Linked DNA regions of Oryctolagus cuniculus. The main gene of each other region encodes a partner of the protein of the gene in region 4 in a complex. Links are inferred from orthologs where the notes say so. Each region holds a gene or a part of one and is shown on either strand. Other genes may lie near its edges.

What was found.
Region 1: the proteins of SFN (region 4) and MLXIPL are in contact, whole or in part, in a crystal structure (PDB 8BTQ), measured with the Homo sapiens proteins. The link is inferred for Oryctolagus cuniculus from reciprocal best matches to the Homo sapiens genes SFN and MLXIPL. Residues at the interface, in NP_006133.1 of Homo sapiens: Gly53, Arg56, Ala57, Arg60, Gln67, Arg129, Val178, Tyr181, Glu182, Lys214, Thr217, Leu218, Gln221, Leu222, Arg224, Asp225, Asn226, Leu229, Trp230; in NP_116569.1 of Homo sapiens: Arg117, Ile120, Arg121, Asn124, Trp127, Arg128, Ala129, Trp130, Tyr131, Ile132, Tyr134.
Region 2: the proteins of SFN (region 4) and ESRRG are in contact, whole or in part, in a crystal structure (PDB 8BJG), measured with the Homo sapiens proteins. The link is inferred for Oryctolagus cuniculus from reciprocal best matches to the Homo sapiens genes SFN and ESRRG. Residues at the interface, in NP_006133.1 of Homo sapiens: Asn42, Ser45, Val46, Lys49, Arg56, Arg60, Arg129, Tyr130, Glu133, Gly171, Leu174, Asn175, Val178, Glu182, Leu222, Asp225, Asn226, Leu229, Trp230; in NP_001429.2 of Homo sapiens: Arg175, Arg176, Arg177, Lys178, Ser179, Cys180, Gln181, Ala182.
Region 3: the proteins of SFN (region 4) and PADI6 are in contact, whole or in part, in a crystal structure (PDB 4DAT), measured with the Homo sapiens proteins. The link is inferred for Oryctolagus cuniculus from reciprocal best matches to the Homo sapiens genes SFN and PADI6. Residues at the interface, in NP_006133.1 of Homo sapiens: Lys49, Arg56, Arg60, Lys122, Arg129, Tyr130, Gly171, Leu174, Asn175, Val178, Tyr181, Glu182, Leu222, Asp225, Asn226, Leu229, Trp230; in NP_997304.3 of Homo sapiens: Phe443, Tyr444, Pro445, Ser446, Ala447, Glu448.
Region 5: the proteins of SFN (region 4) and SOS1 are in contact, whole or in part, in a crystal structure (PDB 6Y44), measured with the Homo sapiens proteins. The link is inferred for Oryctolagus cuniculus from reciprocal best matches to the Homo sapiens genes SFN and SOS1. Residues at the interface, in NP_006133.1 of Homo sapiens: Glu14, Asn42, Ser45, Val46, Lys49, Arg56, Phe119, Lys122, Arg129, Tyr130, Pro167, Ile168, Gly171, Leu174, Asn175, Val178, Glu182, Leu218, Ile219, Leu222, Asp225, Asn226, Leu229, Trp230; in NP_005624.2 of Homo sapiens: Arg1158, Pro1159, Glu1160, Ser1161, Ala1162, Pro1163, Ala1164, Glu1165, Ser1166.
Region 6: the proteins of SFN (region 4) and KCNK9 are in contact, whole or in part, in a crystal structure (PDB 3P1P), measured with the Homo sapiens proteins. The link is inferred for Oryctolagus cuniculus from reciprocal best matches to the Homo sapiens genes SFN and KCNK9. Residues at the interface, in NP_006133.1 of Homo sapiens: Lys49, Arg56, Arg60, Lys122, Asp126, Arg129, Tyr130, Glu133, Gly171, Leu174, Asn175, Val178, Glu182, Leu222, Asp225, Asn226, Leu229, Trp230; in NP_001269463.1 of Homo sapiens: Lys369, Arg370, Arg371, Lys372, Ser373, Val374.
Region 7: the proteins of SFN (region 4) and LRRK2 are in contact, whole or in part, in a crystal structure (PDB 5MYC), measured with the Homo sapiens proteins. The link is inferred for Oryctolagus cuniculus from reciprocal best matches to the Homo sapiens genes SFN and LRRK2. Residues at the interface, in NP_006133.1 of Homo sapiens: Lys11, Glu14, Glu39, Asn42, Leu43, Ser45, Val46, Lys49, Asn50, Arg56, Arg60, Phe119, Lys122, Arg129, Tyr130, Pro167, Ile168, Gly171, Leu174, Asn175, Val178, Tyr181, Glu182, Asp215, Leu218, Ile219, Leu222, Asp225, Asn226, Leu229; in NP_940980.4 of Homo sapiens: Lys907, Ser908, Asn909, Ser910, Ile911, Ser912, Val913, Gly914, Glu915, Phe916, Tyr917, Arg918.

What each region holds. Positions count from the first base shown.
Region 1 is NC_091450.1:50,437,612-50,441,684, reverse strand, and holds the start of MLXIPL (carbohydrate-responsive element-binding protein), read right to left. Parts: upstream 2,801-4,073; 5' UTR 2,725-2,800; coding exon 2,432-2,724; intron 2,224-2,431; exon of another isoform or gene 1,466-2,223; intron 1-1,465. UniProt on the Homo sapiens protein: Binds DNA as a heterodimer with MLX/TCFL4 and activates transcription. Binds to the canonical E box sequence 5'-CACGTG-3'. Plays a role in transcriptional activation of glycolytic target genes. Involved in glucose-responsive gene regulation.
Region 2 is NC_091444.1:30,751,155-30,754,654, forward strand, and holds part of ESRRG (estrogen-related receptor gamma), read right to left. Parts: intron 2,393-3,500; coding exon 2,123-2,392; intron 1-2,122. UniProt on the Homo sapiens protein: Orphan receptor that acts as a transcription activator in the absence of bound ligand. Binds specifically to an estrogen response element and activates reporter genes controlled by estrogen response elements.
Region 3 is NC_091438.1:152,861,203-152,864,702, reverse strand, and holds part of PADI6 (protein-arginine deiminase type-6), read left to right. Parts: intron 1-479; coding exon 480-591; intron 592-2,027; coding exon 2,028-2,135; intron 2,136-2,334; coding exon 2,335-2,489; intron 2,490-2,991; coding exon 2,992-3,148; intron 3,149-3,267; coding exon 3,268-3,391; intron 3,392-3,500. UniProt on the Homo sapiens protein: Structural constituent of cytoplasmic lattices, which plays a key role in early embryonic development. Cytoplasmic lattices consist in fibrous structures found in the cytoplasm of oocytes and preimplantation embryos.
Region 4 is NC_091438.1:144,640,943-144,643,833, forward strand, and holds SFN (14-3-3 protein sigma), read right to left. Parts: upstream 1,486-2,891; 5' UTR 1,383-1,485; coding exon 636-1,382; 3' UTR 501-635; downstream 1-500. UniProt on the Homo sapiens protein: Adapter protein implicated in the regulation of a large spectrum of both general and specialized signaling pathways. Binds to a large number of partners, usually by recognition of a phosphoserine or phosphothreonine motif.
Region 5 is NC_091433.1:163,753,187-163,757,368, forward strand, and holds the start of SOS1 (son of sevenless homolog 1), read left to right. Parts: upstream 1-1,382; 5' UTR 1,383-2,000; coding exon 2,001-2,087; intron 2,088-4,182.
Region 6 is NC_091437.1:164,934,677-164,938,176, forward strand, and holds part of KCNK9 (potassium channel subfamily K member 9), read right to left. Parts: intron 2,354-3,500; coding exon 1,530-2,353; 3' UTR 1-1,529. UniProt on the Homo sapiens protein: K(+) channel that conducts voltage-dependent outward rectifying currents upon membrane depolarization. Voltage sensing is coupled to K(+) electrochemical gradient in an 'ion flux gating' mode where outward but not inward ion flow opens the gate.
Region 7 is NC_091440.1:131,827,533-131,831,032, reverse strand, and holds part of LRRK2 (leucine-rich repeat serine/threonine-protein kinase 2), read right to left. Parts: intron 2,780-3,500; coding exon 2,562-2,779; intron 1-2,561. UniProt on the Homo sapiens protein: Serine/threonine-protein kinase which phosphorylates a broad range of proteins involved in multiple processes such as neuronal plasticity, innate immunity, autophagy, and vesicle trafficking.

The DNA.
Region 1 (4,073 bases), on a different chromosome or scaffold from region 4:
AGTCGGCCCGGCTCTCCCTCCCTCCTTCTTCAGGGGCTGTGAGCCAGGGCAGTGCGCGAGTCCCCTGTGCCCGCCTCCACCCCTTGCTCAGTGGGAAACACCGAGGCCCCAGTGCCAGGGGAAGCCAGGCCCGCTGTGTCCAGGGGCCCGTCTCCCATGCTGGGGGGTCAAGGGGTGGGGGTGCCAGTCTGACTCCTCGGCCCCTTCTCCCACTGTCCCCTGGGCATGTGAGTCATTGGTCCCTTCTCCTCTCTGGTCTCCAAGCTCCTGTGTTTGCTTTGGGGTAGCAGCGGTGGGGAGGGCATGATAGGGCTCATTGCCCAAATGCAGTGGTAAGCCCAGCGCCCCAGCCCCTTCCCCCCTGGAGTTAGATAAACACCATCTGTCTCAACAGGAGACAGGGGAGACAGGCTAGGGGGGGGGGGAGGAGAGGCCTGGAGCCAGAAGCTTAGAACCAATGCAAGGACCTTCTTGGGATGGCTCAAAAAATTGGAGACCCTTGAGGGAAAAAGCGTAGGGACTTCTGGTTCAGGTACCGCACCCCTCCCCGCCCTCGATACCTGGTAGGGTCTCCTTTCCTGCTTGCTCCACCACCCCCCGCCCCGCCCCTGCCGACAGCCTGAGGTCCGTGTCTGCATTGGGCAGTCAGCTCTGACCATGAACAAGTGCTTCCTTGGAGCGCCCAGAACTCCCCCCTACAACCCAGCCCCCGGGCGTCCGCCCACGCAGGCCGTGGAACACAGCCTCCTGGAAAGTCCTGCCTCTGCCCACACTGCCCCGCGGGAGGTCAAAGGCGGCCACCTCTGCAGGCCAGAGCACCTCCCACCACCTCCTGGACTTTTTGTCCCACACGGGACACTGGACTTCTGCCATCTCTTGTTCCAGGGAAACCCCTATAACTGGGGGGGGGGGGGCGTGCTTTGAGGGCTTAAACACTGACCCAGTCTGAGTTTCATCATTTTCCCTCCGCCAAGTGGGGGCAGGGAATCCAAAGGCCCCTCCGAGACTGAGCCACTCCCCTCCCTGATGCTGGGGTCTGCACCCTGGGGAAGACCAGAGGTTGAATGTTCTGAGTGGGAAAACACACAGTCTCTGCCCACTCCAGCTGCCCCTGGCTCCATCCTCCTGCTGGTGACTCAGGGGTGGCAGTTCTGGGGTGCACTGGGGCTTGTCTCACCCCCTCCCCCACCCTCCCCTTTTTGATCACCCTTTGGCCTGGGGTGGGACACAGGTGTGCCAGTCCCAGCAGAGCAGGTGCATAGCACTGCAAAGCAGGAAGATGAAGTGGGGGCAGTGGGTGGGAGTGTGGGGAGAAGGGCTCATCCCTAGTGCCGGGACCTCAGATGCCCTGTCCCAAGCAGTCCCGTGATGTCCGGGGAGGAGGGAGGGGAGGGGGAAAGGGACGGGAATTTGAACTTTCCACATAGGTCTGGCGTCCTGGACTATCAGGTTGCAACATGACCTGGGCCCGGGGCCAGAACGTGTGGGCCAAGGTTACGTCGCCTCCAGCCAATGGGGTCTGGGCTGGGCCAATGCGGCCAGGGGCAGGCATTGCTCCTCCGTGGTCCGCGCCCCTCGGTAGCCAGCGGTTCTCAGAAGGGGAGGAGGCGCCGCGGAGGAAGAGGGCTATTTGCAGAGGAAAGATCAAGGCCCGCCGATCCCCCCTCGCTTCCCTAAGGTCTTCGGTTGATAATTTATCCTGGTCCCTCAGCTCCGAGGAACTTTGCTCCAGGGCTCTGGGCCAGGACCCTGGTTCGCGCCCTCCGGAGGGGCGCAGGGCGTGGAGCAGAAGTCCTGGGGAGCGGCCGGCAGGGACCCCAGGCCACGGGAGGCGCTCAGACTGGTGCGGGGAAGCCCAGGCCTCCCCCAGCACCCGACCCGCGCGCCTCCTGCGGGACCTCGGCGTGCACAGCCTCTCTGGCCCGCCTGGGGCAGGCGCTCTCCTCCCGCCACCCGTGACCTAGCAGGTCAAGAAGGAGGGGTCCGGGCGCTGGGGACGCGATGGACGAGAGTCTGGGTCGGCGTCGGACATAGGGGCTGTGCACTGCGGCCACCACGGGCGCCATTCGGGGTATCGACAGGTGCCCAAATGGTGGTCCCAGGAGGAGGGCGGGCACCGGCGGGGGTGGCCCAAGCTTCTGGGAGCGCCAGCGATGCCTGGCGTTTGTCTGGAGCGGGGAGAGGAGCGCGTCGTGGGCCTGCGGAGGTCGAGGCGGAAGGCAGGTGCGTGCGCCCGAGCAAGAGGTAACGGCGGCCTGAATGGAAGCCTGGGGTGCACAGGTCCCATGGGGGGGGGGGTGCGTAGGCTGAAGCGGGGTCAGGGGACACCCGGGTCCGGGGAAAGAAGGTGCCCGGAGTGTGACTGGAGTCTCGGGGTGCAGCCGGGGGCTGGGCCTGAGCTGGGCGCGGGGCTCTCCGGAGCGGCCCTCACCTGTACGCCAGGCTCAAGCATTCGAAGAGGCGAGTGAGTGTGGGGTCGATGCTGCGCGGCCCGAAGTCGGAAAGTCCGACGGGCCCCTCCTGGTCGCGCCGCCGGGTCAGCGAGTCGCTGTGCGGCGACGACACCATGAAGTGTCCGCTGTGGATGACCTGCGAGCGCAGCGGGCCTCCCGCGCTGCGCCGCGGACTCGGATCCTCCGAGTCGGTGTCCGAGTCCGAGTCCGGGCTGGGCGCGGCCCGCGGGACCTGTAAGTCCGCGGCCAGACCTGCCAGCGCCCGGGCCATGGCCACCGCCGCGGTCCGCGGTCGCCTCGCCGGGGCTCGGGCGGAGCGGCAGCAGCGGCTCGCTCAGCTCTCCCGGCCTCATTAGCATAGCCACGCCCCCACACGACGATAGGCCGCCCTGGTGGGCGTGGCTCGGAGCCCCGCCCCGGCGCGCCGGAGGGTGGGCGGGGCTCGTCCTAACTTACTTCGTACGCCAGGTGAGATCTACGCTACCTGGAGCTCGCAGGTCTTTCCGAATCTCCGCCTCCCGCCTTTGCCCTTGGCTGACCCCTCGGGGTCTTGATGAAGAGGTGTCCTGAAGGGTGGACCCTCACACCTGGGCCCGCCAGCGGCTCTGTACATGTGGTTCGTGCCTCCAGGTGGGGCTCAGAGGCACAAACATTCCCAAAGACTAGTTATAGAAGATTCCAGAATTCGCAGCCAGGCCCGACCCCAGTGGGAACCGGAGAGGGCTGGAGGCCGATGTGAACCGGCCTTGGCTTTGCGGGTGGTGTGCTCTGTGCACCGTCCAGTGAGGGCCCCGCGAAGCGGGTGGGGAGGGGGCCTATGAGGAGTCTCGGGAAAAGTCCCAGCACACACCCAGCTCTTGGTGGGGTCAACACCGCCCCCAGGATCACCAAGGACCTCCCCCGGAGGGCCCCAGGAACTGGCTGAGGGAGTGAAAGGCGACCCAAGGCTCTGCTCGGAGTCACCTCACATTCCCAGGAGCCCCCGCGGGAGACCCACGTTCTCCCAGCCCCCTCCTGCCAACGCTGAGGAGGCCACCAGGGCCCATGGCGTTCCCCTCCTCTAGAGGGGCTGTGCCAGGTTTCTAAGAGCCACCCCTGAGCCACCTTTTGTGGCTGCTGGCTCCAGCAGGGTCATTCCTTGCCATGGGCCCTGAGGCAGGCCTCCTGTATCCTAAGATCTGAACCCCAGCCCAGGGCACTCACTCAGAGAAGGGGCACAATGCTAAGAGGAACAGATCAGTAGCTGTGAGGGGTGGGGGCTTCCCCATGTCGCTCTGCCACTGGCTCCACCACAAAAGGCCCCCCGGGGAAGGGGGGAATGTCTGTCTCACTGTAAAACTGGATGCCAAATTCCTGCAGCTTTTGCCATCCTTGGTTCAAAGCCTCTCTACCAGTGTCCCTGGTAGAGACAGGTCCCAGAGACACTCCCCTCTCCAGTGAGCGGGGTGCCTCCTCTCCCCCACCCAGCTCCCCTCTTTCGCCCGTCACTGTCAGCTGCCTGTCCGCCCACACCTGCACTTTGTTTCTCCCAGCCTCAGCCCAGATCACACCTCTGAAGGCTTCTGCACTGGGAAGATAAGCCCCATCTGTGTGATTGGAAGCAAAACAACCTAAGGTGTG
Region 2 (3,500 bases), on a different chromosome or scaffold from region 4:
CCATTTCTGATTCCAACTCCTGCTAATATACACTCTGGGAGGCATCAGGTGATGGCTCAAGTACTTGGGTCCCTGACACCCACATAGGAGATCTTGACTGAATCCCTGGCTCCCAGCTTCAACCTAGCCCAGTTTTGGCTACTGTGGGCATTTGAGGAATAAATTGGAAGATAGAATCTCAATCTCAATCTTTCTCTCTCTCATTCTCTCTCTCTGACTTTCAAATACATAAATTTTTAAAAATATATATTAGTGATTATACCTCTAAGCCACAGAGACACAAATGTTGCTACTCGTTGAGGTCCTGTACACTACCTAGCCATAAAGCATACATCTAACATCTAGAATTACAATGTTTACAAAGTTTCAGCAATTTTGATGACAGTTTCAGCATTGCTCAGCATTTATGATCAACTGCTAATGTATGAAAGCAATTTGAAACAAAAGTTATAAAACCATGTTCAGTCTATTTCAAAAACAATTATCCTAGTAAATGTTTCAATGTAATTTTTTAAAGTAAGTGTTTGAAATTGGAATCACTTCATAAAAATTCATCCCCAAAACACTGCTGTAAAAACCTTCCATCTAATTGGGAGAGATGCTGTAACATGAAGTTCCTACAAACTTGTAAACGCTCAGGAAATTTCAATCCCAGTTCCCACTTTGATCTTCTAGAGAATAGAGCAAGGGGTTCTTGAGGGTTTATAACAACAATGCCATTTGTCCCAAAGAATCATATTTTTCAGTTTCACATGAAGTGGGAGGGGAAGAGTGACTGCATGGTGAGGAAGAGGGCTATATTCACAATTAAAACTGTGAAACGCTAAACTCTATTATGAAGACAAATAGGAAAGTACAACTTCATTGTTGAAAACAATTTCCCTCCTATCAGTCCAAGGATTCATGCATCAATATTGTAGATGAACTGTTAATTACAAAATCAATTAAAAATTATTTCTAAAAACAGTCACGCGCCCCTGGCTCTCATGGGGGCAATTTGGGCAGAAGGTCTCATCTCACTAGGACCGCGCCAAATCACAAAGTCGTCATCCACAAGTAAGCAAAAGCAATCTGGTTTTTCATTTTTCAGCGCGGCTGAGCCCAGCCTGAGATTGATCGTCACATATGGCCCCAGAAAACAAACTGTCAATACCTTGAATGCTGCAGAATTTGAACAAATAGCCGTCCGCCCATTCAAGCCACTCATTGCATCCCATTTAACAGATTTTATTGACAGTTTCCTTCTTGTAATTAAAGGGAAAACTACTGGCCGGCAACCAAGATAAAGTTCAAAGATAGGGTCAAAACAAAAGCAGATGGAGGGGCACGGTGTGACTGTCAATGGTACATAGCATCAGAGCGTGCTATTGACACGCAGGTATCTAATGATCGGCACGTCATTAAAGAGGGATCTATCCTGAACTTTATGCAAATGCTGAGAGAGACTTAAGACCACAATAAAGCAGTAGGAGAGGCACAAAGGGAAAAACAACAAAGCACCAACGATTTTTACTTATTGGAGGTTGCTTCCTATTGTAGCACATTTCAGTGCGGATGGAAAGAACACTTATTCCCATAATTCTTAACCTCTCCTGCACAGGTAGGGCCTTTCAGGAAAATGCTCCTTCAGCAGAATTTGACTTCTAGAGAATTCCATCCAGAATGTTAGGGGAACTGCGCCTTTTGATTATCAAAATTGAAAACAACACTAAATATAGCTTCCCAGTAGCAAAGTTTTCATTTTCCAGGAGAAAAAAAGAGGTTAATGCATAGCTCTACTTCACTTATTTTGACTTGAGCACAAAAGACAAGAAAATGTTATCCCTAAAGGGTCCATTTATGCTACTTGCACATGAGCTTGTGCTTCGCTGAGATCCAAATTAATAAATGCATTGGATGGTAAAAGTTTCACAGCTTTCAATCAGCGAGAAAACTGAAAATTATTTCTTGTAAGTGTACTTTTCTTATTTCAAACTTTTCACTAGAAAGCTACACTGATTATAATTTTGCTGACTCACACACAATTTACAAACTAGGTCTAGCAAATCCCTGAAGAAGTTAAGGGAAGGGGTAAAAACTGACATATTAAAAAATGCACCAACAATCATGTCAATATGCCAACCTGAATTAGCAAGAGCTATAGCTTTGAGGGTGACAAATTCTTCTTTCTCCAGCTTCATGCTCTTGTATTTCTTTACCAGCTGCAGAATAGCATTATTGAGGTCAAGAAGGCCTGCTAATTTGGACTGGTCTTCGTCCATTATATAATCATCTGCATAGACAAGTTCATCTTCAAACGATAGAGATCGGTATACGACACCAAGGATCAAAATTTCCATCCACGCACTCTGCAGAAGGCTCATCTGGTCCGCCAGGGACAGGGTGGAGAAGCCTGTATGGGAAGAGAGGCAGACCAAGTTACTGAAAGACCGCTTCACAATGCAAAGTTAATCTCCTATGGCATTGGGCTCCACATCGGAGCCCACGGTGATGCACAGCTTTCATCAAAAGCTCTGAAAAACTTTCCCCTGGTCACTTTACCCATGTGAAGTAAAAGCCGAAAACCAGTTTCAATCTGTTGGCCTTTTCTATAGGTTTTGTAGACATGGCTATATAGATAGAATGGAGACGTGGTTATCTTTCTTCCATCTGAGAAGAAAATACAATGTCATCTTTAAGTATGCGTGGTTTCGGGCTGTATGCTCTAGAAATGTGTGAGAGGAAGTCATATTTACACTACCTCATCCCTACAAACTACCAGTGATAAACAACAAATAAGCAAAAATAAAAAAGCCCCCAAATAAAAACAATTTAGCCCACACAATACAGTACATCTTGGAAACGTTTCTCTCTAATAGTCACAGAGGATGATGACTTTCAACCAGATCAAATTTCTTAACTAGATATTTTGTCCTCACGGATATTTAACATGAGTTTCTTTTTTTAAAAAAATTATTTACTTTTCTATTTTATTTGAAGTGCAGAGAGAGAGAAATATATACAGACGGACAAGCAGACTCTTAAAGACCTTCCACCCACGGGTGCATTCCCCAACGGCATGCAACGGCGAGGTCTCAGCCAAGCCAGAGCCAGGAGTCTGGAAATCAGAATAAATCTCCCCTTTAGGTGACAGGGTCCCAACCACGGGGGCCATCATCTGCTGCCTCCCATGGTGCACATTTGTAGGAAGCTGGAATTGGGAACAGAACCAGGACTCAAACCCAGGCCCCAATATGGGATGTGGGCATCCCAAGTGGTATCTTAACGGCTCTCCCAAACATGTGCCCTGAAATCCTTTTAAAATGGTGTTTATTGAGATAAAAGAAAGTGGAAAACTTAGCCACTTGGCCTCTGTAACAAATTGAAAGGTCACAGTAAGATTCTATTATTTAAAAAGTTAGACATAGAGGCAATGGGGTTTGGTAGAAAGGATATGAGTGAAGTGGTCTCTTAATTGTAAATGTTGGCTCCACTCAGCTACTGCAGGTTTCATCTTGAGC
Region 3 (3,500 bases), about 8.2 Mb from region 4:
GCAAGGCGGGCCATGACCCCATATGGGATGCCGGCGCTGCAGGCCTGGGCTTTAACCCACTGCGCCAGAGCGCTGGCCCCAGGATATCTGTTCTGAGCCCCAGCCTGGTGCTGTGGGGGGAGGGGGTGCTGAGATCCCTGAGCCCATGCCTGCCGCTGGCTGTGTGCAAACACGCCCTCTGCTGGCCACCTCCAGGAACCCCAGCTGCTTGGCTGCTCAGAGGGGGGGGCGGGATACCACCCATGAGGACGGAAGAGGAGCCAGTACCTTTGGGTCCGCTGACACAGCAGAGCTGGGCCACGGGTCACAGCGCAGGTGCAGAGTGACTGAAGGTGCCGGGCGGCCAGGGCAGGGGCTGTCGCTGGCATTTCTTCAACTGAGTGGAGTGGCGCTGGACAACAGGCTCTGAGCTGGGGGTCAGGAAGTGCCCCCCCCACCCCGGGACGTGGCGGTCACGGCCAACTCCTCTCTCTGGGCAGAGAGCTGCAGCTCCAGGGTTTTGTGAACATGGTGACCGAGCTGAGCGAGAAGAGCAACAGCCAGCTGGCCTCTGTCTACGAGGACCCCAACCGCCTGGGCAGGTGGCTCCAGGTAACACCCACCTGTGGGCGGGGGCCGGGGGACCGGACGCGTCCTATACATGGGGCTCTCGCGCAAACCTGAGTGCCACAGGGGGGGAGGGGGGGAAGGACTCGCCTGAGCCATAGCCACAAGGGATGAAAATGGACTCCACCCTCCTGCCCGATCTGGAAGGGCCCTGGTCCTGATGCCTGCAGCTCTGGGCTGCCAGGACCCGGCCACCGCTGCGGGGTCGTGCCTGACCCCGGCACAGCGGGAGGGCTAGAGCCCAGCCTAGCCTTGGGGTCTGGGGTGTTGTCCTGTCTTCACAAATACTCGTGCAATTGTGTGCTGAGCGCACGTGAGAAGAGGGGGACAGGTTCCGCACCTGCTGTGTGAGGTTAGCGGTCTAAGGCTGGGGGGGTGGGGTTAGGGTTAGGGTTAGGGGCATGTGTGAGTGACTCGAGCCAGCTGGGCAGGGTGGGGCGTCGGGGAAACCTTCAGTGAAGTGAGGATGGGTGGGGGGTCTTCCTGCCGGGATTGGGGCAGGGGTGGGGAGGGGGCGGAGCAGAGGCTGACTTGGATGGTGATGTGGGCGTCTACCAGGGGATTCCGGGCCTGGAAGGGCCAGTGTGGCCGGGTCCCAGAAGGAGGGGCAGGCAGTGCTACGTTGAGCACTAGGGACGTTGTAAGGCCAGGTAAGGACTAGAAATCCACAGCAAATCAGGGCGACACAGAAAGGTATGAGCCAGGGGAGGGAGAGGTCGTGACTTAATTTTTTTCTTTAAAGTTTTGTTTATCTGAAAGTTAGAGAGGTAGAGACAGACTGACTTCTTCCATGGCTGGTTCACTCCCCCAAATGGCCGTAACAGCTGGGGCTAAGCCGATCTTAAGCTAAGAACTTCTTCCAGGTCTCCCACGCGGGTGCAGGGCCCAAGCACTTGGGCCATCTTCCACTGCTTTCCCAGGCCACAGCAGAGAGCTGGATCGGAAGTGGAGCAGCCAGGACTCGAACTGGCGCCCATATGGGATGCTGGCGCTGCAGGCAGGGGTTTTACCCACTACGCCACAGCATCGGCTCTGTGACTTAACTTTTTAACAGACCCCTCTGGCTCAGGGGTAGGGAGTGGATCTCGGAAGCGGGCAAGAACAGAAGTTCGGTTGGAAGGCCTGGCAGTGACTTCTCGGGCGGCACCCGGGATGAGTTGACTTGGCGTGGGTATTTTTGAGATAAAGCCAGCGAGACGTTGGCACACTGGGCGCAGACATGGAGAGAAGGAACCTGCTTACGGAAGGGTCCAGAGGAGGCCTCTGAGAAGCTGGGTTTGGAGGGCCGAGCAGGAGCTGGCGGGAAGTGGGGGTTCTCGTCGCTCCCCTTCCTGGGCAGCTGTGCGGCTGGCGGGCCGGACCCGGGCAGGAAGGCGGCTGGGGTGAGGGGACCTCACTGTCCGTTCTCTCTCCTCCCCCAGGACGAGATGGCCTTCTGCTACACCCAGGCTCCGCACAAGACGGTTTCCTTGATCCTCGACACCCCCAGGGCCACCAAGCTGGAAGACTTCCCCATGAAATACTCGCTGGTGTGGGGCTCGGTTGGGCTGATCCGGGTGTGGTCCGACCTCATCGGCCTGGTGCCTGGCCAGAGTGATGGGCCCCGAGGGAGAGGGTGCGGGTGCCCTGTGGTGGGGGTGGGGTGCTCCCTGGGAGTCGGCATTAGGTGGCAGGTGGGGGCTTCCGGCCCCTCCCTCCCTCCTTCCTCAGGGCCGGGTCTCCTTCCAGAGCCCTGGCGTTGGCTACGTGATCCAGCACACCGAGGACCACAGGGTGGCCAGTATGGATTCCATCGGGAACCTGATGGTGTCCCCGCCCGTCCAGGTGCAGGAGAAGGAGTACCCCCTCGGCAGGGTCCTCATTGGCAGCAGCTTCTACCCCAGGTGAGGCAAGGGGCCAGACCCCTCAAACTGCGGGGGAGGACCCTGGGGTTCACCTGGCTCCACCCTATTCCCCCTCCCCCAACCCCCCCCCCCCCGTGAAGCTCAGCAGGGGGTTTGCTCTGGGGCGTCTCTTACCCCGTGAGATAGGAGGGCTCCTTAGTCTAATCCATGCAGGAGACTAAAGTTTCTTTGGTTATGGGACTTCGGCTGGTCCTAGCGCCCCCTGCAGGTGGTGTGTCTATAACATGCGTGGTTGACCTTCACCATGACTGTAGGTCTAAGACCAGGAGACGCCTGGGTCTTGTGGGCCTGTCTGTCAGGGATCACTAGGCTCAGTCTTGATTTGGGTCCGAGAAAGGGATTCTTGGCCAACCAGCCCTTGACCGGCCACTTCTACCCAAAGGTCAGGGCAGCCGGGCCCCAGGTGGCAGCCTGACCCTCTGCAGTAGGCAGGCAGCTGACCGGGACCCTGCTGGATCACGGCTCTTCCATTTCCTTCCAGCGTGGAGGGCCGGGCCATGAGCAAGAGCCTCCGGGACTTCCTCTATGCCCAGCAGGTCCAGGCGCCCGTGGAACTCTTCTCGGACTGGCTGATGTCGGGCCACGTGGACGAGTTCATGTGTTTCGTCCCCACGGACGACAAGAGTAGGAGCAAGAAGGTGTGCGTGGGCAGCTGGAGGGCACATCTGCCATGTCGCCCGCACCTTCTGCTGGGGACTTCCAGAATCTTCTAGGGGCGAAGGGACCTGACCTCTGACCCTCGGTGTTTGTCCCCTAGGGCTTCCTGCTGCTCCTGGCCAGCCCCAGCTCCTGCTACAACCTCTTCAAGGAGAAGCAGAAGGAAGGCTACGGGGATGCGGTGCTATTTGAGGGTGTTAGAGGGGACCAGCTCCTCTCTAATGGTGAGCAAGGGGTCCCTCCGGGGGGGAAGGGCCAGGTCCCTTCTGTGGGGGTCCCTGTAGACGGTCATGCTCTCCTCGGTCCTGCTTGGTAGCAGGAGCCCAGGGCAGC
Region 4 (2,891 bases):
AGGCACCCGCTCCCCTAGCCCGAGGGAGGCGCCTCAGTGCTGCCTCTGCTCTCCGCCCCTCCCGGGACCAGACCAGTGTGGGGCCACCCGGAGCGGGGAGAGGCCCCCGCCTCGAACCTGGCTGCGCCCCCGCAAGGTCTCGCCCGCGGGCCGCTGGGCCAGCCGCGGGGGAAATCGGGGCCTGTGCAAAGCCCACTCCCACCCATCTCCCAGCCCAGCGCCAATAACTGCAGAAGACCGGAGGACTGAGTGTCACGGGGAGTTTATTGAGCCGAGCCGGTCACCGCCGGCAGACAGACGCTTTCCCTCTCGCTCACTCACAGTCACACGCGCACCCCAGCTCCCGCCTCTGCCGCCCGGCGCCGCGCTCAGCCGCAGGGGCAGGAGGGAGGCGAGGCGGGAGGGGAAGGGGTGCGGAGAGCAGGGTGGGGGGGCGGCCAGGGGCTGGGAGCGCCCCGCGGCTTGCAGGGAGAGCGAGACCCCCGGGCGGCCTCGGCTCAGCGGCTCCCTTCTCCAGGGAGCCTTTGGGAGCCGGGGCGGCGCAGCGAGGGGGAGAAGGGGGGCGCCTCCCACCCCGTAGTAGTCCTCTCCGCGGGGCGTCGGGGACCGGAGGGGGCAGGGCGGCGGCGGGCGGCTCAGCTCTGCGGCTCCTCGGGAGCCTCCCCGCCCTCTTCGCCGGCGTTGTCGGCTGTCCAGAGCGTCAGGTTGTCTCGCAGCAGCTGCATGATGAGGGTGCTGTCCTTGTAGGAGTCCTCGCTGAGGGTGTGCAGGTCGGCCATGGCCTCGTCGAAAGTGGTCTTGGCCAGCGTGATGGCCTCCTCGGGGCTGTTGGCGATCTCGTAGTGGAAGACAGAAAAGTTCAGGGCCAGGCCCAGGCGGATGGGGTTGGTGGGCGGCATCTCCTTCTTGCTGATGTCCATGGCCTCCTGGTAGGCGGAGCGGGCCGAGTCGATGATGCGCTTCTTGTCGTCGCCGGTGGCCACCTCGGCCAGGTAGCGGTAGTAGTCGCCCTTCATCTTGAGGTAGAAGACGCGGCTCTCGGCCTCGCCTGCCTCCTTGATGAGGTGGGAGTCCAGCAGCCCCAGCACGGCGTCGCACACGCCGCGGAGCTCCTTCTCCACCCTCTCCCGGTACTCGCGCACCTCCGGGCCCTTCTCCTCCGAGCCCTCCTCCGTGCTCTTCTGCTCGATGCTGGACAGGACCCTCCAGGCCGCCCTCTGGCCGCCCACCACGTTCTTGTAGGCCACCGAGAGCAGGTTTCGCTCTTCACAGGAGAGCTCCTCGCCCTTCTCCACCGCGCCCTTCATGAAGGCCGCCATGTCCTCGTAGCGCTCAGCCTGCTCGGCCAGCTTGGCCTTCTGGATCAGACTGGCTCTCTCCATGGCTCTGGGGACAGAGAGACGGGCGGCGGGCGAGCTGGCTGCCTGGGGACCAAGGCTGGACTCTGTGCCTCTGCTGCTCTCAACCTGCCTTTTGGCTGGGTGGCTTGGCCTAGGCAAGGGTGGGGAGGGGCGGGGGGGCGGGACTGGGGCCCAGGACCTGCCTCCCTGTCTTCTCCCCACACCCTTTCCGGCTCTTCCTTAAAGGTAAAAGGGCCGGGATGTGGGGGTGAGTCATTGGAACAGTCAGCAGGAGAAATCTGGGCGTGGGCCCCACCTGTGCGGGCACCTTGCTGGGCTCCAGGCTGCCCCCTCCTGTCCAGCACCCGCGTTAGGAAGCTGCCAGGAGGTAAGGACGGCTTCAGCCACCTGGCAGCTTCGGCTTTGGCATAGCCTGTGGGCTCAGGTGGGTGCAGGAAGATGGGGCTGCTAATCCGGCCAGGTGCACTGCCCCCCCCCTTCAGGCGAGGTAACCCAAGCGCTTCCCTAGTCCTCACTGGGTGCAGTCCCCACCGTGACTGTGAGGTGTGCAGCCCTGACGTGGTGTGGGAGCCTCTTCACTCTCAGGCTGTGAGACTTGCTCAGGGCCACACAGCTGCCAAGTCCCTGCAGCTCTCTCCTGCACCCAGCTTCCTTGGGCTTTTCTCCTATGGGCTCTGCATGCCAGGTCACCTGCCCCCTCTGACCGGGGAGCTCCAGACTTTTAGAAGTGAGGCCAGGCTTCTTCCTGAGTCTACTGGGAGACAATTCCAGCCCCAGGGCCTCAGCCATGCAGGGTCCCCTCCGAGCTCCCAAATGCTCCCAGAAGGGTGGCAGCTATCAGGGTGCTACTTAACGAAGTGTTTAACGAGCGGCCTCCGAGGCTCCAGCCGGGCCTGCGTAATTAGTCACCCAGTAGGTTCGTCGGACACCTTCCCCTTCACAGCACAATTTTCCCTTTCAAGTCGGTGGCCTGTTGCCACTTGTTGGAGGACTTCCCATGAGGCTCTCCAGGCCGGGTCAGCTGCCCCCTCCACGCCGCCTGCCATCACAGAGCAGCAGGGCTCACGAAGGGTCCCACTCTCCTTCCTGACTCAGCTTGTCCTCTGTCAGAGGCTGGGAAGCAGGCCACCTGGGTGCTCAGTCCAGTTTGGTCCCCCAGGGGGGACGCAGGCAACCCCGGGGAGAGACGGGGCCGAGGAGAAGGAGGTGGCGCTGACACACACTGTTTTATGGGGCAGCCGTGGAAGCTGAGTGACGCCTCCCCCCAGCCTGTCTCCCAGAAGTTTCCATGTCCCTTGCACTTGACCACGGCCCCAGCTCTGACCACAGCAGAGGTGTCGGAGCTGGAGACCTCCGTCGCCAACCTCTGTCCCTGCGTGTGGGGACCCAGTCCTCGAGTTTCACGTTGGCACTGAGCCAAGGAGGGTGGGTTCCTGTTTAGCTGCCCTGCCCCTAGCCAAAGCTTAGCTGGGACTCAGGGGTGCGGCTCCCGTCTGGGATTCAGCTGGGACCGTTTCACAGGCCTGTGTC
Region 5 (4,182 bases), on a different chromosome or scaffold from region 4:
CTGGACTGGAAGAGGAGCAACCGGGACAGAACCGGCGCCCCAACCGGGACTAGAACCCGGTGTACCCGCGCTGCAGGCGGAGGATTAGCCTAGTGAGCCGCGGCGCTGGCCTGAAATGTATTCTAAGAGCAACGAAGAGCCAAGGAATAGTTGGCAGCAGACCACCAGTGTAGGCTCACTCCTTTAGAACCACACAAAGCCTTTTCACCTATATCAGCCCTGTAGGTAGTGGAAGGGGTCTAACACGTTCTCCACTGAGACGCCCCCAACTCGACTCCAAACAATGTAGGTTCTCCTCTTCCAGAGGACTGACTGACGGGTTTCAAAATGTCACTGAACACTTCTGAAAGTGTAAATCAGGCATGCCCATTTTTAAAAGGAAAAAGCCCAAGACTTGATTCAGATTCTCAGAGAAGTTCTGTAAAGATTAAGATGCACCGCTTAAACATTTCTCAGCTTTGGGATCCTGGCTATTGTTCCATGGACCAGCAGGACACAAATGCCAGCTCAACCCAGGCTAGTCCTCTGCACTGTCTTCTCTGTGAAATGAAAACATGATTGCTGTGAGGGCTCAGGGAGCGATACTTTAGTGTTTAATGAAAACCACGAGGTGTCTACCCAACAGTGGTATTGGAAACCAACATCTGCAGCCCTGGAACCGAGGGACAAATTTATACACTGCACCTTTAGCATTCCACAAGCATTCCCTGGAGAAAAAGATCTGCCTTGCAGGCGTTCACGATCTAACCAAAATGCCGGGGAAGATAGAAAACGCAAAACAGACCAAGTGAGGTTCTCTGGAACCTGGGAACCGCGTATGATGTCCCACTTTCCAGGGCAGGGAAGCACTGACTGGAGTTGGTTGTCTGATGTGGGTTTGCGCAGGCTGAACCTGAACACCCATTCTACCCTTGCTGTGGAAAGGCCGGCTGGAAACATCGCAGTCGCTTCTGCCACCTGACAAATACTGAGCAGAGGGAAACCTATCTTTGTGCAGTCTGTTTACTATACGTTGCACGCTCCGAGCAGCCCTTATCCTCATGGTCGGGAACAAAGTACACACACAGACCCAGACACACACACACACCCCTTTCCGAAACCAAGGCCCGGGGACTCCAAGAGAGGGGTGGGATCCCTCGCGGCGCGGCCACACAATGGGGGCCGTCTCAGCACAGCTCGCCTCCCACCCCCACCCGCAGGCCCCATTCGGCCAGGGTTCGACTTCTCGGGCCCCACCGCCCCTCCCCTGCAGCCCCCGGGAGCGCAGCCACAGCCGGGCCCGGCGCCCTCCCTCGCCCTCCCTCCTTCACCGGGAGCCGGAAAACCCGGAGGGAACCGGCCCAGCCCGGCGGCGCATGCTCAGTAGCGCGCAGGTTCAGTTCGCTAGTAGGAAGCTCCAGCGCTGCACCGGCGGCGGCGGCGGCGGCGGCGGCCGCGGTGCAACCCGGCGGCCGGAACCCCAGCGGCGACTTCGGGCCCTTCCTCGCCCCCGAGCTCCCTCCCGCTCTAAGACTCTAGCGTGTCGAAGTCCTCGCTGGGCGAGCGGGCGCCGCGGCAGGAGCGCCCCTCCACACGCCCTCCCCCTGCCGCCAGCTCCTCGGCCGGGCAGGCCGGGCCCGGAGCGGAGCGTAGCCCCGGCAGCGGGCGGGCGGGCGGCGGCCGCGGCGGAGGGCAGCTCGGGGCGGCGCCGGCGGGCCGGGGAGGGGCGGGGGGCCTGGCCCCAGGGCGGTGGTGCGGCCGGGATGCCGCCGCCGCCGCCGCCACCTCCGGGCCGTGTTCGCTCTCCGCGGCTGGTGCCGGTGTCGGGCGGGTGGCCGCGCGCGGGCCTCGTCCCGCAGCCGCCTCTCCGGGGCTAGCCCGGCCGTGCGGCGCCCCGAGGGGGCCGGGCCGTCCGGAGGGGCCGCGGCCCTGTTCCGCGCTGCGAGCTCGCCCTCTCGCGGCTTCCCGGCCGGGCCGTCGCCGCCGCCCCTCTCCCCGCCCAGAGGCGCCCCGGGGGCACCATGCAGGCGCAGCAGCTGCCGTACGAGTTTTTCAGCGAGGAGAACGCGCCCAAGTGGCGGGGGCTGCTGGTGCCTGCGCTGAAGAAGGTGAGGAGCGCGGGGAACCCCGCTGCCCGGCCGCAGCCCCCGAGGCGGGCGCCGGGTCGGAGCCCGGCCGGGGAGGCGGGGCGCGCGCGGGCAGGGCCGCCTTTCTTCCCGGTCCCTCCGCAGCCGGCGGGCGCTCGGCGGGGACGTGCCCCGGTGTGTGGGAAGGCAGGCCGCGGGGAGAGGGTCGGAGACAGCAGTCGGGGGAGCCCCGGGGTTCAGCGGAGGTCAGCGCAGGCCACCCCTCCTCCTGGCCGGTCTCTTTGCCGAGCTGCTGTCAGCCTCCCGGTTGAAGTGTCCGGGACGCTCCTTTCACTGGCCCGATAACGCTCTGGCCATCATGTTTGCTGCGAGCTTGCCTGCCGGCGGCAGCATGGCCTGCTTTGCTCCCTCTGCGTTCTCCTGGGCACCCCCTCCGATTAACGAGGAGCTGCTACACATGCCAGTATTTTCAGACTTATTATTTTTTGACGGTTGAAAATCTTGGTGATGTCATTTGGGTTAGAATTTTTAACCTCTGTTTTGTATGTTTACGTTGGCCACATTGTTATCTAAAGTTATATAGGAAATGTTGCTACATTTTGTTTGTAAAGCAACGTTGTGACAAACACTGCACGTTAAAAACATCAGAAACTGGTGTGTGAGTTTAAAAACAACTGGACTGTTTTCGTTTCCTTTTCTTCATTTCTTCCTTTTCTGGTGGGGTGGCTTTATGCTTTCAACTGTGTGTCTAAATCCCAGTTTCTTGTTGCCCAAAGAATGTTTCATGAGATCTGGTTAAAATACAGCTTTGCTCCTCCTGAGGGCTGGGGTTATGGTTAGTCTTTCATGGTAAACATTTCCACTTGAACACAGTGTCTTAAAAGGTGTCTGAGTTTATCCAAGGCCAGAAGCTTTTACTTTCTTTTTTTGCCCTGGTCTCCCCCTCCCCCTTTTGCAGTCTTACAGTGGAACCTACTTAGTTAGCAAAATCTGCTCATATATTAAGGATTGAACTACCAACTTTTCCCCCTCAAATGTTTGGCTAGTCATTAACATCTCTTTGGTGTTTTCTAATAAAGTGTGTTTTGTGTGTGTGTGTGTGTGTGTGTTATCGGTATACTTCATTCATTAGAACTCCTACCAGGTTCTCCATCTGTTTAGTTGTGCTTTGCCTGCAAGTGTGTCTTCTTGTGATAGAAGGGGAGTAGGAGGTCACAGTGGTGCTAGAAGCTGGTGTTCCATCAGGGTAGAGGAAAATAAAACAGTTGTCTGAAAACATACCCAAAAAGCCTCATGAAGCATTACTCACTTGGGGTCATTTTGCTTAGAAGCTTACAGGTCCCATCCCAGGGGAACCACCGGTCTGTGGGTTGAGGATCCTTGGAAGTAGTGCAAAGAATGGCATTAGAATTGGCAGACTCACTGTCTGCCACGTGGGGGGCCCTGCTGGGATCTGTCCTCAGAAGAGTTTTGTTTGGCTGGCACAGTGTTGTTTATTGTTAAGTGTTTACACATGGGAGATATTACACAAAATCTGAATTCACAGCTTTTGTTGAAGAAAAATCTCTCCACTCAGGTCCCACGTGAAAAGCCAGCCAGTGACCTGCTGCGGGTGCATGGATAGCTGCCGTCTTTAGACAGGTGCACATTGGCGTTTACAAAGTCCTCAGCAGTCCCCTTTGCTTGTTTACATAAAACAATGCTTAGGTGTTTATTGACTTGAAAGTTTGGGCAGTGGAGAGAGAGGGAGAGTGAGAGAGAACACCTTGCTCTCCTCTGCTGGCTAACTTTCCCAGTGCTCATAATGGCGAGGACTGAAGCTGGGAGTTGGGAGCTCCAGGTTTCCCATGTGGGTGACAGGAACCCGATTACTTGAGCCGTCACAACTGCCTCTTGGAGTCCATATTAGCAAAAGCTGGAATCAGAAGCCAGGGCCTGATATTGAACCCAAACTCTGGCTTAGCAGCTAGGCCAAACGCCCACCTCTACACAAAGGGGCTTTTGACTCTAACAGAGTTGCCCTTGGAATAGAAATGATGGGAGGAGGTAGAAGTGTACAGTCTGACTGATAAATGTATCTTCCAATTCTTATCCAACTGTCTACCAGCAGGGAGTC
Region 6 (3,500 bases), on a different chromosome or scaffold from region 4:
GGCGGGTGGCATTTGGGTGCTGTCTCCTCTTAAGACATCCTGTCGGCCAGCAAAGTCTCCTCCTGAGCAGTACAACCAAAGCCCATTTCATCCAAGAGCCGCGGATTTCCGGCTTACGAGAAAGGCGTGGGAGGTTGGGGGAATGGGTGAGTTTTAGAAATGGCACAGATGGCAATGAGGCAGGAGGTCAAAGCACCCTCGGGGGAAGCTGAGGGTTAACATGAGACGCTGGACCCCCGAGTGTCAGTCTATGCAGCCCCTCGGAGAGGAACAGGCTTCCCTTTGGGACCACCCCCTGCTGACAGTGGCGCAGGGGGCGTTCCCGTGAGATTGACAGGTCCCCAGCAAGCCAAGACCCAGCCTCAAAACTCAGACCAACGTGACCTTTCCCCTACTTAGCAATCGAATGCAATGTGAGCCACTCTTCTAGAAAGTCTCTCACACGTCCCAAATGCCCATTCTCAGCCAAGCATTCCAAAGCTGCCCTTCCTACCCCTGCGGGACGAAGCTGCCCCGAATCGCCAGCATCGTCAATGAGAGGGATGCGAGCCCCTGGGGTTCCAGGCGCGTGTGGCCAAGCATGGGAACCGGAGATGACACAACTGAAAAATGGCCGTGATAACTCCGTACGGTTGGCTCTGGACCGTCCAACCGTCTCTAAGTGCTGTTCTCATATGTTGGTGAAGCGAACCAGTTTCACAAAGTGCATGCTGTAAGTGTTGGAACTGGCAAGCTAAGTGACCCTTTGTCTTCATCCCCACCCACCCTTCCCACCCACCCTGAAAATCCGTGAATACAATGTAGAGCCTAGCGTTTTTTTAAGTTACGGTCGAGACGCGTCTGGGAGAGACGGCTTTAACGGAGCATGCTTGGTTTGGCAACTATGAGAACTCAAAAGCCCCGTGGGTTCTGCTTGTGCCGTGTTGGTTTGGGAGCAGCCAAAGGTAGGCTATGAAACCAGGTGAGTGGAGGGAGAGATGAAGAAATTCTGGAACTTTCCGTCTCATCCCGTGACACACACTTGCACCATCTGAGCGTGCCCCCCCACCACACACACAAACACCCCCCAGTCCTTGGGGGAAGGAGAGAGAGAGGCGCTGGGCAGAGACGCCACTTGGGGCGGGCGACAGCAGGCTCTTGGCTGGGCTTGTAGCTTTGGGTTTAAAATCCTCTTAGCTCTGTCTGCGTGGGCTCCATCTCACCCTGGGACCGGGCCAGTGGCCTCAGGTGGGGAAGGGGCAGGGGGCGTATAAGGCATACTCTGCGGGAAAGGACGACCCATGCCTGCGTGCTTGGGTGCGGGTTTCGGAGGAGGAGGGGCCTTGGTTTTCCCCTGGGCCTGTTCTGCCTGGCTGGAAAGGTAGGGAAGAAATAAAGCCGAGAAGAGGAGAGAGAGAGAAGGCGATGACAGATGGCCGGCACGACAAAGGGTAAATCACAAATAAATAGGGAAAGACGAGTCGGGGCCGATGGAACTTACGTCGACTCTGACACAGGGGACGCGGCCGTGCTGGCGCCCGCCCCGCACCTTAGACGGACCTCCGGCGCCGCATCAGCCGGTGGTGCTCGGAGAAGCTGTGCACCCCAGGGGAGATGGAGCTGATGGGTGATGGGAACAGGCTGTTCTTCAAGGTGCTCGGGGAGATCTCCTCCATCCTGTACGAGATGGACTGCAAGTTCTGGGGTGCGAGCTTGGCACCGAAGGAGTTCTGGTGCGTGGCCACCGAGCGGTAGCACGAGCAGGCGCACACGGACTGCAGTTCGGTGCCCTCGCCCTTGGCGCGGGCACGGCCTGGCCGCGGCTCGTCGGGGACGTGGATGACCAGGCTGTGGTGGTTGCCGGTCAGCGACGCCCGGTCTTCGGCGTCGCGCCGCTCGTCCTCACTGTTCATGGTCAGGAACCTGAGCACGACCAGGTTGAGGAAGGCTCCGATGACCGTGAGCCCCACCAGGATGTACATGAAGCTGAAGGCCACGTACAGCGGCTTCTTCTGCAAGGCACCCTTGCTCTGCAGCGCCACGTAGTCCCCGAAGCCGATGGTGGTGAGCGTGATGAAGCAGTAGTAGTAGGCGTGGAAGAAGCTCCAGTCCTCGCACTGGGAGAAGGCGGCCGCGCCGATGCACAGCGTGCCCATGCAGGAGAAGAAGCCCACGGTCACCATGTTCTCCATGGAGACCTCCGTGTTGCGCATACCACAGCCCTTCTTGATGCGTTTCAGCAGGTAGCGGACGAAGGTGTTCATGCGCTCGCCCAGGCTCTGGAACATGACCAGCGTCAGCGGGATGCCCAGCACCGCGTAGAACATGCAGAAGGCCTTGCCCGCGTCTGTGCCGGGTGCCGCGTGGCCATAGCCTGCGGGGGGAGGGGGGAGAAGAGTGGGGAGAGCGGTCAGAGGCCAGCCCCTGGGGTCTGGGAGGGAGGGGTGGGAAGAGAAGGACAAGGGGGATTGGCAATTTTTTGGGGGGATCACAGGGTCAGAGTGGGAAGGGGGCACGGGCGGATCACCCCAAATTCAGAAATCGGGAACGTTCCAGAATCCCAAGTGGAAAGTTCCACCATGAGAAAGTGCATGGGAGACTGGTTCTGGGCGTCACTCGGGAAACGCGTGGGCGCCAAGCGCACCACATGGTGGGGCCTTTCGGGGGTCTTGGAGCAACACCACTAAGATAACTACCAGAGACCCAAAACCCAGGAGAGAAATTAAAAATGCCCACCGCAGCCGGACACACAGAACATGCTCCTTGGACGATGCCTGCGGTGAGCCGGGCTCTGGGGCCTGCACCAGGGCGTCCACCTTGGCAAGGACACCCAGCAGGTTCCCGTGGGCAAGGCCGCCACCCCCCCCCCGCAGCCGAGGAGGCGGCCAGCAGGGGGCGCTCTGAGCCCCAAGAAAGGCCCGGAGAGGGGGCTGTTCTTCTGTGTCTGCTGAGGCCCCGGCAGCCAGGAGGGGACCTGCCCCTGTGACCCGGGATAGACACGCCCAGCCATTGAGGAGGATGGTGGCCGAGCTGCAGACGGATGCCGCGGGCCCGGGTCACCCAGAGCCTGGGGCCGAGCACTATGGCCTGGCCGGAGGAACACCACCCAGCAAAAGCCGGAGCCGGCCGCGCTCGCTCTGATACTTCAGAGGGTAAGTCGGGGCTGCGGGCGGTTGCCCGCCAGGGTGGGCTTCTCTTCCGAGACCCTGAGCTGCTGAGCGAGCTCCACCCACCGGGGCCTCCCCCACCCAAAGAGGGTAAGAGCTTCAGGTGCGGTGCGCTGAGAGCCAAGGCCACCCAGGCCGGGCTCGGGACACAGCAGGAACCTCACAGCCCCCACGGCTCTCAGCAGGAAGCCCACTGCCCACGCCCCCGGCGTGTACACAGGCCAGCTCCTCGCGGGAGAGGAGACAGCCCATGTTGGTCTCCATGGCCCTTGATCCCCGTCTCCCAGCTGGCACCAAGCTGGGGCCCCTTGGGAGCCCCACAGCCCTGACGCTGGAGCGTGGACAGGGCCACCT
Region 7 (3,500 bases), on a different chromosome or scaffold from region 4:
CCGGCCTGATTGGAAGGAAGACAGAGCAAAGAAGCAGAGGGCAACACAGTGAACTTTCCCCTGGGACCTGGGTAATGGGAAGGATTTAAGCAGGCGAACGAGAGACAAAAGACGCCTCTTGGACGTGCGTGGAGATAAATGTAAGCTTCAGGGGTATATACTCAAAGCTCTCACAACACTGGTTTAAAAGCATCTCAAAACGTGGGGTGGCTGCTCCTTGGGAAACCTCCATCCTATACTGGAGTGTCTGCGATCAAACTCTGGCTCCACTCCCGATTCCAGCTTCCTGCTAATGTGTACCTTGAAGGAGCAGGTGATGGCTCACGTACTTGAATCCCTCATTCTCAGCGAGAAGACCAGGCTGAGTTCCTGGCTCCTGGCTTTGGCTCTGGCCCAGGCCCTGGAGACTGAATCACTGCATAAAAGCTGGCTCACTCGCTCCCACTCTCTGTCCCTTCTTCACTCTGTTTTTCTGTCTCTCTCTCTTTGTATCTGCCTTTCAAATAAAACAAAAATAAGTAAATAAAAATAAAAGAAGAAAGAGAAATGCATTTGCAGTAAGATTCATTTTAAAAAGACTGGTATTATTCTTTAACAAACTTTGCAATTCAATCCAAGAAATCAGCTTAGTAATTTAAATGTTTGTATTAATTTAATTTGCCGTATCATCTTTGGCTTTGAAAACGTCTGACCCATAATACAAAGAAGAGAAAGTCCATATTCAGAGGACTATGCTATCAACAAACTGCTATACTTTAATTCTCTCAAGATTAGAAGTTTGAGCAGACAATTAATTCCTAAGTTACATATAACTTTTTATTTTATTCATTCACACACATACACTGTTCCTATCTGTTGGCTGATTGCTGTAAATGCAAACAACAAATAGGCTGAAGGCAGGGACTGAGAACTCAATGAAGATCTCCTATTTGGGTAGCAGCAACCCAATCACTTGAGCCATGACTGTTGCCTTCCAGGGTCTACGTTAGCAGGAAGCTGAAGTCAGGAGCTAGCGCTGGGTACTGAACCTGGCATTCCAACATAGCACACATGCATCTTAACCTCCAGGATAAACGCCCACTCCAAGTTACACACAATTTCAACCCCTCTCCCCCCAAAAAGTCCTCATGATCAGGGCCAGTGTTTTGTCACAGCACATTAAGCCACCACTTGCAGCATTGGCATTCCAGTACTGGTTGTTTGACTTCCAGTCAAGTTCCCTGCTAACATATCTGGGAAAGCAGTGAAAGATGACCTAGGTCCCTGGGCCCCTGAACCCACATGGGAGACCCAGATGAAGCTCCTAGCTCCTCAGTAGGGCCTGGCCCAGCCCTGGTTGTTATGGCCATTTGGGGAGTGAACCAGTAGATGCAAACTCTCTGTCTCCTTCTTTCTCGCTCCCTTTCTCCTGTAACTGAGTCTTTCAAATAAATAAGTAAATCTTTAAAACACAAAGTCATCATGGTCAGTTAGCTGAGCCTCTCAATTTACAGTGGAGGAAATGAAGGCTCAGAACAGGCAGATAGCTGGCCGGCGCCGCAGCTCACTAGGCTAATCCTCCGCCTAGCGGCGCCGGCACACCGGGTTCTAGTCCCGGTTGGGGCGCCGGATTCTGTCCTGGTTGCCCCTCTTCCAGGCCAGCTCTCTGCTATGGCCAGGGAGTGCAGTGGAGGATGGCCCAGGTGCTTGGGCCCTGCACCCCATGGGAGACCAGGAAAAGCACCTGGCTCCTGGCTCCTGCCATCGGATCAGTGCGGTGCGCCGGCTGCGGCGGCCATTGAGGGTGAACCAACGGCAAAGGAAGACCTTTCTCTCTGTCTCACTCTCTCACTGTCCACTCTGCCTGTCAAAAAATAAAAAAAGAGTTATTTAAAAAAAAAAAAAAAACAGGCAGATAGCAGTTCTCATGGTCACACAGCTACTACCAAACCAGGTTAAACTCTCGTCTCCCTAAAATACTTTAAAAGCTTCAGTTATCTGGACTCAAACCGACTATATGGAGCCATCAGCAGGCAGCTCTGACAGATGCTGACACATACCCTGTGTTACCGAGACAGAACCTAGAATTGCATTTTAACCCAGTCTCTGTCTCCACTGCTTGCTCTCAAAGGGGTCTCTGCACACCACCCAGACTGATACCCATGTGGACAGCAGAGGAACAGGGGGCGTCCTGTGCAATGACACAGGAGGAGACTGGAAGACCTGACGGTGCCGGGCTCCTCCAGCATTGGGAGTCGGGCTGGGGGCGTGGAAGACTGGACGGTGCCGGGCTCCTCCAGCATTGGGAGTCCGGCTGGGGGTGTGGAAGACTGGACGGTGCAAGCCTCCTCCAGCACTGGGAGTCCGGCTGGGGGGCGTGGAAGACTGGACGGTGCTGGGCTCCTCCAGCACTGGGAGTCGGGCAGGGGACGTGGAAGACTGGATGGTGCCGGGCTCCTCCAGCACTGGGAGTTGGGCGGGGGGTGTGGAAGACTGGACGGTGCTGGGCTCCTCCAGCACTGGGAGTCAGGCGGGGGGCGTGCAAGCCTCCTCCAGCACTGGGAGTCGGGCGGGGGGCGTACCTCGCAGAGTGGCTGTGGGAAGCTGACCAGTGCATTCTGCTGCAGCTCTAGCCTCTCCAGGTGCTCCAAGTGGCCACTCAGGCAGCCCCTGCGGCTCAGGGCATCGACCTCCCTGAGTTCATTCGCTGATAGGTCTAAGGAGGTGATGTACTCCCTCTCCGAAGCCAGGGAGGACACGCTGTCTGACTGCCTCGCGTGGGACTGCAGTTTGGTCGACCCTGTATCAAGAAACAGCAGAAACGTGAGCAAAGGGCTTGAATCCATTAGGGCAAGGTGTCCTGAACACCTCCCGGTGGCAATCTCTCCTCCAGGCACTGGAGCTTCAGCAGAAAATGCATTTGGGGGGCCGGCGCCGTGGCTCACTAGGCTAATCCTCCGCCTTGCGGCACCGGCACACCGGGTTCTAGTCCCGGTCGGGGCACCGGATTCTGTCCCAGTTGCCCCTCTTCTAGGCCAGCTCTCTGCTGTGGCCAGGGAGTGCAGTGGAGGATGGCCCAAGTGCTTGGGCCCTGCACCCCATGGGAGACCAGGATAAGTACCTGGCTCCTGCCATCGGATCAGCGCGGTGTGCCGGCTGCAGCACGCTGGCTGCGGCAGCCATTGGAGGGTGAACCAACGGCAAAAGGAAGACCTTTCTCTCTGTCTCTTTCACTATCCACTCTGCCTTTCAAAAAAAAAAAAAAAGAAAGAAAGAAAAGAAAATGCATTTGAGGGCATGCGTCTAGCACCAGAAATGCATAATAAATTTAAAAAATTGAATTGGCTGGTGCAATGAAAAACAACAACAATCAAGAATATAAGGCAAAGGAGAGGCACTGCAGGCACTACCTGCAGCTCAGACAATTCACAGCAAAGATAAAAATGCCTGCTGGCATGTATAAGAGGTCCATGTTTAACCTATAACTAAATCTCATTTTCTGTAGCCTGTGGAGTCACTAG